2 linked regions of the Mus musculus genome follow. The main gene of each other region encodes a partner of the protein of the gene in region 2 in a complex. Links are inferred from orthologs where the notes say so. Each region holds a gene or a part of one and is shown on either strand. Other genes may lie near its edges.

Region 1 (4,581 bases), on a different chromosome or scaffold from region 2:
GTGTCAGTGACCTGACACCCTCTCCTGGCCTGTGTGGGCACCAAGCACTGAGGTGGGACACAGACATACAAGCAGAACAGTCACAAATGTAAAATAAATGCAAATAAATTTTAATTAGAGCAGCAGAGGGCTGTGAAGATGGCTGGGTAGCTACCATGCTCCTGAGGTGCCTAAGGGAAGTGGAGGTGCCAGGGTGGCCGCCATTCTGTCTCCAAAGCCTACAGGAGGAGCTGCTGATACATACCTCCAGGCCCTTCTCCAGGAGCTGCCAGTCTAAGCTGTGAGCTTAGGGCCAGTAAGACACTGCTACCAACAGCTACAATGATGAATAAGTGACCTGTGCATGAGGAACAGCATCCAGGGTTGTTCACTGGGCTTACATGCACAGGTGTGTGTGCTCAGACACACTCACATACACACACACTATCAGATACAGACACATACACTCAGACACACAGATACACAAACACACACTCAGACATAAACACATACAGACACACTCATACACACACACTTATACAGACACAGACACACAAGCACAAACACACTCACATAGACACATACAGACACACTCACACACACAGACACATGGACACACACAAACATACTCACATGCACACACAGGCACATGCAAACTCTGTCTTACACACACACACACACACACATTCCACACATGGAAAAAAATCAAGAAGCTCTGCACAATATCCCAGTGAGCTCCTCCTGCCAAGCCTGAAGCCATGAATTCTATTCCTGGAACCCACATAGTGGAAAGAGAATCAAGTCTGGAAAGTTGCCTTCTGATCTCCATGGGCGCTGTGATATGTGTGTGCCTCATTTCTACACACATAAACAATGTAATGTATAAAAAAAATTTTAGATTTATTTTGCTTTCTGTGCATGTCTGTGGATGGTTGGGAGCTACCATGTGGGTGCGAGGAACAGAAGGCTGGGGTCTCTGGAAGACCAGCTGGTGCTCTTAACCTCTGGGCAGCTCTCCAGACCCAATAAACGTGTGTTTTTTGTTTGTTTTGGTTTTTAGAGATAGAATCTCACTATGCAGACTAGGATGGCCACAGACTCGCAGAGATCTATTACGTCCATGGCCCGCAAGAAGTAAAGTTATAAAATGGGCAGAGATATGTGCCTGTGGTAGAGTATATGCCTCATACGGGGAAGGTAAGGCACATGTCTCGCAAGTGTCAGTACCCGGATTAAAAAACAAACAAAAAAACCAATAAACAAACAGCTTCCTGCGGCACTGAAGATGGGGAATTGACAGCAAATAGCAGTTCTGTTACCCAGGAGAATGTAAAACAAGAGCACAGGTTAGGTGGCTCAGAGAGGAAATAGAAACGTGGAGACCTAGGTAGGTGGAGCACGGACAGAAATACTCATCGAGGCTGAGCCAGAAAGCAAAGGGCTTTGAAACAGATACGACCTGGCCTGGACTCCCCGCAGTTTACGAGCCCTTTAAGGCGTCTGCCCGGCCCCGCCCCGTCACGCGTCTCCGGCTCCGCCCACGCCGCAGCGTCAGAGCGCGTCAGGCGCTGTCCGCGCCCCCGGTGCTGAAGCGACATGGCCGGCGGCCGGGCCCCGGCATAAGCCCTGAGCCCCGCGCTGCACCCGCCGCGCTCTAGCCGCCTGGAGTCATGTCTCTGCTGTGCGTGGGAGGTAGGTTCTGCGTGGACGCGGGAAAAGTGCGGGGTGTGCGTGGATGAGCCGAGTCGGGCTGCACAGCAGGGGGACCCCCGGTGCGCGCTTCAGGGCGCACTTGGATCAGCCCTAGGTGCTCTTCCTGTCACTCACACGAGTGGATGAGGGACTCGGGGCGCCTGTGTAGACGGTTTATAGGCCCTGGTTGGGGCTGAGGAGACGGCGGACCGTGCGCGCGAGGGTGGGGCGTTTAGGGGTAATGGGCCCGGACTGAGCGTAGGAGCAACCTCTCCGATCCCCAGTATGCCCTAAACAGTGCAGCAGGCTCCGCGGAAGCTCGTGGCTCCCTCTTCGCCTCACCCCTAGGGCTGGAGGAAGGGAAGGAGATGTGGGGGAGCAGCTATTTTGGGGCCAAAACGCCATCTGCACCGAGGCCCACGCCCAGGCCCACGCTCCGCATTTGGAGAGTAGGGAGGGAATAACGGGAGAGGTGTGACCCCTGCACCCCTCGAAGTTCCGGGTGGGGCTAGGCACGGCTGCCAGGTAACTCTACAGCGGGAGACCTTGGGCGACCGACTGGCCATGTAGCGATGCGTGCCGATACCGTTGTGAGCTCTAGGTTTGGAGGGTGGGGGGTGAACCCCCTACTCCCTTTCCCCTTCCCACCTCCAGGAAGCTGTGTAAGGAAGAGGGCGAGTCTCCATCCCCTCAGAACCCAGGCGGCGGGAGACCTGGGCGGCGGTGTGCGGATTTGAGCTCCGCGGCTGTGTAGCCCTAGATGGCCCCGCCCCTCTGCCCCTCCCCCTCCCTGTCCCCCCCTCCCCCTCCGCTCGCTGCTCCATTCACAAACCCGGCCCAGCCCGCCCGCGCCCCGCGGTGCATCGCTCTAGTCTGTTGGACGCGGGTGTTCTTAAAGGAGCAGGAACTCTTTTCTCTGACCCTGTGCCTCGAAGGTTCCGACTGCCCAGGATTACTGGGTATCCGCGGCTTCCAGACCTGGGAAGTAAGCGGAGCTGAACGTGAAGGGGATCCTCACCTCGGGAGCTCCCTGAATCCCGTGTCCTCCCATCCTGCCTCCTGGGGCGGGGGGGGGGGGGCGCGTCACCCCAACTCTGACGCAAACCGGAGGCTCAGCTGTGGGGGTGGAGGGCGTGCAGCCTAAGAAAGGAGGCTTCCAGAAAGCCAGGCCCAGGAGACATTTGTACTGAATTCCCTGGATACCATGGTGGGCAGAACAGGGAATGAAGGGTAGGGCTCTGGGGAGAGGAAACAGGCAGAGAGGTAGGGAGGTGCAGGTGGGGCCTGAGTGGGGCGCTGGGCGTGGTAAAGCTGGGCCTGGAGGTGTCCAGTGGACCTGAACTCACCCTCACAGTCAGGGAACACCTTCATTCCAACCACCCACGACCCTCCCCACGGACGCTTTATGGCTAGGGCTGCCATTGGATATATGGGGGCTCCAGGCTCCTCTGCAATGGAAGCTTCCATGTTGCAGATACAGATCTAGATTGTACACACAGGATGCTAAGGAACGTTTAGTATATACACATAGATAGGCAGGAGCTGAGGCTCAGTATGCATAGTGCTTGCTACAGTGCTCATAGCTCAGTTGGTACAGTGCTCATAACTCGGTTGGTATAGTGCTTGCAGCTCAGTTGGTACAGTGCTCATAGCTCAGTTCAAACAGTGATGCCCAGGATGCACAAAGGCCTGTGTTTCATCCCCAGCACTGCATACATCAAACCTGTCAGCACATGCCAATCACCTCAGAACTTGGGAGGCATCGGCAGGGACTCAGGAGTTGAGGCCAGCCGGGGCTAAACAAGCCTTGTCACACATACAGAGGAAAATGTAGGAAAAAATATCCCTTCCCATCTCAACACAGGCACATACTTGACCACACCTCCTGAAACACACTTGGTCACAGGCAGATACACTACGTACATCTTAGACCTGTGATCTCACCTGACTGTATGTAGGTATGAGGAGGTCAAAAAAACAATTTGGGGTGTCTGCTCTCTCCCTCCTCCACTGTGTAGATCCCAGATGCCTCGGCCATTAGGTTTGGTGGCAAGAAGTCTGCTGAGGCATCTCCCACTTTGTTGAGACAGACTCTCTTACTGAAACTGAGCACACAGATTGGCTGGCCAGGGGATCCCAGGATCCATTTGTTCCTGCTTCCCTAGAGCTGCGGTTACAAAAGACAAATCCAGTCTGACTCTCTAGGGGATCTGACTCAGGTTTTAGTTTTTTCATAGTAGCTAGCTTACAGCTCTTTCCTCCATTTAAAAAAAAAAAAAGATATATTTTAACCGGGCATGGTGGTATACACCTTAATCCTAGTACCTGGGAGACAGAGGCAGGTGGATCTCTCTGAGTTTGAGGCCAGCCTAGTCTACAGAGTGAGTTCCAAGACAGCTGGGGCTATGGAGAGAAACCCTGTCTCCAAAGATAGAAAAAAAAGAAAAAGAAAAAGATCTACAAACACAAACAATCACTATGAGAGAGAGAGAGAGAGAGAGAGAGAGAGAGAGAGAGAGAGAGCTGGGGTGTGGGTATAAATTTGTCTTGAAACTTGAATAGTACCAGAGTTGAACCTGCCCGTCCATCATAGTAACCCCACTACACAGACGAGGAAAACTGAGCCCCAGAGAGGTTCATCCACTTGCCTAGAAACACACAGCAGGGAGAGGACTCCCTGGCTAACTGTGGGCTGGGCAAGAAGGTTGGGTCAGGGTCCTTCAGTGAGGTGCCTGACCTCCACGGTCTGTTTCCTTCCTCCTCTCCCAGAATCCTTTGCAAAACGCAGTTCCCAGCTGCCCTACAGCTGACACTATCCAGCAACAGGGACCTGCCCCCTGCGACTGTCTGTGCTGCCTCCTGTCTCCTTCATGTTACTGTAGGATGGAGGGTGACAGCCCTGGCTTTGTC
Region 2 (3,819 bases):
GTAGGAGGAAAGATGACTGAATCAGGTCGACTTTGTGCATTTATTACCAAAGTAAAAAAAGGAAGTTTAGCTGATACTGTAGGACATCTTAGACCAGGTAGGTTTTTACCATTGGTTATTTACATTTAAAATGCCAGCTGTGGGGCTAAGGTCATAGGATGTTTGTCCAACATGTTCAAAGCCTTGGGTTTGATCATTAGCACTGCCAAAAGAAAAATGCTAGGCATGAATAGTTAAGAAGAAGCCTTCTCTTGTACAAGTGATTCTACCAGTAATAATTAGTTTTCTCACGTAAATTAAAACTTTTTGTCATTAATGGAAAGTTATATCTTCTATTCCCTGTATATATTAGACGCAATATTGTTTTGAAAACTGCTTTTTTTGGAGCAAATTACAATTTGCTCATTTCCCCCCTTTCCCCCAGCTTCTCCCAGAATTCCTCCCACACCCCACATGCCTTGATATGTTAGTGGTGAATGTTCTAATCTGCCTGTAAAATTAGCTTATTTTGTTTCCCCAAATCTTTATTTTTGTTTTGAAAAAAATTTCAATGTTGTTTAGGAAACAAACCTCATCAATGAATGCACATTTTCTCATTATGTCATTCCATATTATTTGGCCAATTCCTCCAATTCCTATCGGAGAAATCCTTAAAGTCCTTGAGGAAGATTTCCTATAATGTGACTCACTTAACATTTTACAAAAGATCTTAAGAGTTTAGGCAACTGACACTCTTTAAAGCAGCGCTTAACTAATCATGTGTACACTACAAATCTAGAATAGAATCATGTAGTCCTCAAAGAGAGGGTTGACCCTGATCATTGTCTCCATCTGATTGTCTACAATTAGACGTTGTGTTAAGAAATCAATGGATGTAACTTTACGCAGTGTTTTTCTATTGACCATTGTTATTGTGGGTGAAACATGCTATCCTAGCTATCAAGCTCTGTGCCCCCGAGTTGTTCTCAATGTGTGCATTACTCTCTTCAGGTGGATGTACTCTTGCAATTTGCTGAAATCCAGCGATTGCTTTTATATTTTATGGACCTGGCTTGTATTTATAAGATTATTCCTGACACATAGGTGATGAAGTCTTGGAATGGAATGGGAGGCTATTGCAAGGAGCCACATTTGAGGAAGTTTACAACATTATTCTAGAATCCAAACCTGAACCACAAGTTGAGCTTGTTGTTTCAAGGCCAATTGGGTAAGATGGTTTTAGCAATTTGCTTACTTTTAAATGCATTTGTTTTCTCTCTATGTGTATGAGTGTTTTGTCTGAATGCGTGTGTGTGCACATCATGCATGCCTGTGCACACAGTGGCCATGTTCCCTGGTGTTGGAGTTTTGAGTGGATGGTTGTACACCTGCATGTACATGCTAGGAACCAAGTCCTGGTCCTCGGCATGAACAGTATGTGCTGTTAACCACAGAGCCATTGCTCCAGCCCCAGTTTCCAGTTTCTGTAACTTATTTGTGTGTAAAACTGACTACTACTTAGCATCTTGGAGTGTGCAATCCAAAATTGTTAGACTTTTTTTTTCTTTAACCAAAATATTTGGCCACAATTAATGATTTTTCTTTATTTGATTACAATAAAATATGTTGTTGATTACAAAATAGAAAAATATCATTACTTTTAGGAAAAGTTTTAGTAGTCTTCTACACTCCAAAACTGTCAATCACTGTAGTCTACATATCTTAAAATTTTTTGGTTTTGTTTTTCAAATGGAGGCTAGATTACAGAGACAGAAACAAAAAGCATATGATATCCAGACCCAGGGCTCACTTAAGGAAAAGTAGTTTCTTTGAAAATGTGATTAATAAGATCAAAATAGGCAACATTAAAACTCACATTGTCATTGTCTTTATTGCAAATAGCTTATTTTTCCCAAATGTGGCAGTGAGGTTAGTCCTTTCATCTGTAGTATAAAGATTATTCATGACATGGCCTGCCAGTGCTTTCTCTGTAGAAACATATATTCTATAATATAAAAGACATATCAAAATTAAATTAGAAAAAATGTGTAACTTGACAGTGAACTATTGAGTGACTTATTAGATAATAAAATGGGAGGCAAGTGCCTGGGAATGGAGGCTGGAGAAATTCCTTCTTGCAATCATGCATTGTTCTCATTCACCTCGGAAATAATAGATTGGAGCCTTTTGACTCTTTAACGTTTGGAAATATGGTAAAACCATAGTGTGTTTATTTTAATGTTAAAGTATATAAAATTATATATTTAATATTTTAAATAATTTATAATCATTTATGAATGAACCTAGTTTTTGCTATCTACTTGTATATCAAATAAGTATAGGTATTTTTGATATAAATATAGTTACAAGGTAACTTTGAAACTCCTGGTATGAATCATGATTGCCTGATATCAATGTAACATTTAAAATTTTTAGTTACAATGCAATGTTTTAGTGATATTTGATTTGACTTCCAGTGTAATTTATTTAGAAAATAAAGCAAAAATAAAGAATTGCATTAATATATGCTTATAAAACTTACCTTATTGAATACAAAGCTTTTTTTAAAGAGTAGATTATATTCTAAGGTTATATAGTAAGGCACATAGAAAATAAAAGTGTATATTTTTATAAATGTGGTAAGATGCATATAGGTTTTAATTCCTGTTGGAGGAAGTTGTAAAAATGTGATCCCAGTCTTGGGAGGAAAAGACAGAACTGTGTGGCAAATTCAAGGCTGGCTTCACCTATATAGAAGATCTAGGTCAGCTTGCCCAGAAACGACCAAAAATTGTGGTTTGACTTTTATCATTTTCATAAATACTTATATACATATTTCCCAGTTTTCACTTTTTATTCCTAGTTTTATTGGAAGACAAGATGCTTCAGTTGATAAAAGTTTTTTTTTATATCTTTTCTATCATTCCAGAGATATTCCTAGAATACCTGATAGCACGCATGCACAACTGGAATCCAGTAAGTTTAATTTATTCTAGGATATGTCTTTAAGCATATCATTCAGTAGAGGTCTAGTGAATAAGTTTATGTAGTAATATGGAATAAGATAAGTAAATTTATAGCCTCACACATTAAATCGAATAAAAGTGGAAATTTTCATAGAATTTCACATCTCTGTTGAAAAATATAAAGCTCTGTAATCATTTCAATATTTTATTTTACCCCTGCCATGATTATTGTAGGTTTTTAAGGACCTTTACTAAGGTATGTTCTAATAAACTGCACATTAAGTATAGAGTGAGGCAAGTCTTGGCTGCCTATGTACTCATGTATCCCAGTGAAAAGTCATGACCATTTTTACAAAAGCTACCTACTCCCAAAGTTTCCCACAAAATTTAAAGTTTGCAACTTTGTAACGCTAATGATTTGTAGAAGGGTATGTTTGGAAAAATCTAGTGAATAGTTTTATTTATTTTAATTTATATTTTTCAAGATTAAAATAGTAGATCTAATTTTATATCACAGCAGTAATGGAACAGCCAACATGTAAGTTCAACTTTGTTTTGTTTTCAACTGCAATTTCTTATCTTAAATTAGCTGTTTTCTGATGAACTGTCTCTTTATTGGCTAAGAGTAGTATAAGGGATACAAGGAGAGAAGATCAGGGGTGCAATTTAAAACACAATGTTGAATAAGAGAGACAAAATTGCAAAGTAGTTTGGACAAAACTTCCAAGAGTGGCTGTCATGGTGGGCAGATTTGCAGGTACCTAGGTACAGATATCTGATAGTGCAGCGGTGCCGAACAGGGGACACTGATGTACAGTTAACACAGGGAGGACAGCGTAGCCAGATAAAGTTTGCAGGGGAGATTAGAATGATT

What was found.
Region 1: the proteins of Rims2 (region 2) and Unc13a are in contact, whole or in part, in a crystal structure (PDB 2CJS), measured with the Rattus norvegicus proteins. The link is inferred for Mus musculus from reciprocal best matches to the Homo sapiens genes RIMS2 and UNC13A. Residues at the interface, in XP_063118965.1 of Rattus norvegicus: Asp102, Gly103, Cys104, Ser109, Gln112, Val123, Leu125, Ser127, Asn128, Lys129, Val134, Met135, Trp136; in NP_074052.2 of Rattus norvegicus: Tyr23, Ile36, Trp65, Leu69, Ile70, Trp71, Asp72, Thr73, Met74.

The regions. Positions count from the first base shown.
Region 1 is NC_000074.6:71,668,716-71,673,296, reverse strand, and holds the start of Unc13a (protein unc-13 homolog A), read left to right. Parts: upstream 1-1,539; 5' UTR 1,540-1,649; coding exon 1,650-1,671; intron 1,672-4,581. UniProt on the Homo sapiens protein: Plays a role in vesicle maturation during exocytosis as a target of the diacylglycerol second messenger pathway.
Region 2 is NC_000081.6:39,456,681-39,460,499, forward strand, and holds part of Rims2 (regulating synaptic membrane exocytosis protein 2), read left to right. Parts: coding exon 1-97; intron 98-1,083; coding exon 1,084-1,207; intron 1,208-2,908; coding exon 2,909-2,955; intron 2,956-3,819. UniProt on the Homo sapiens protein: Rab effector involved in exocytosis. May act as scaffold protein. Plays a role in dendrite formation by melanocytes.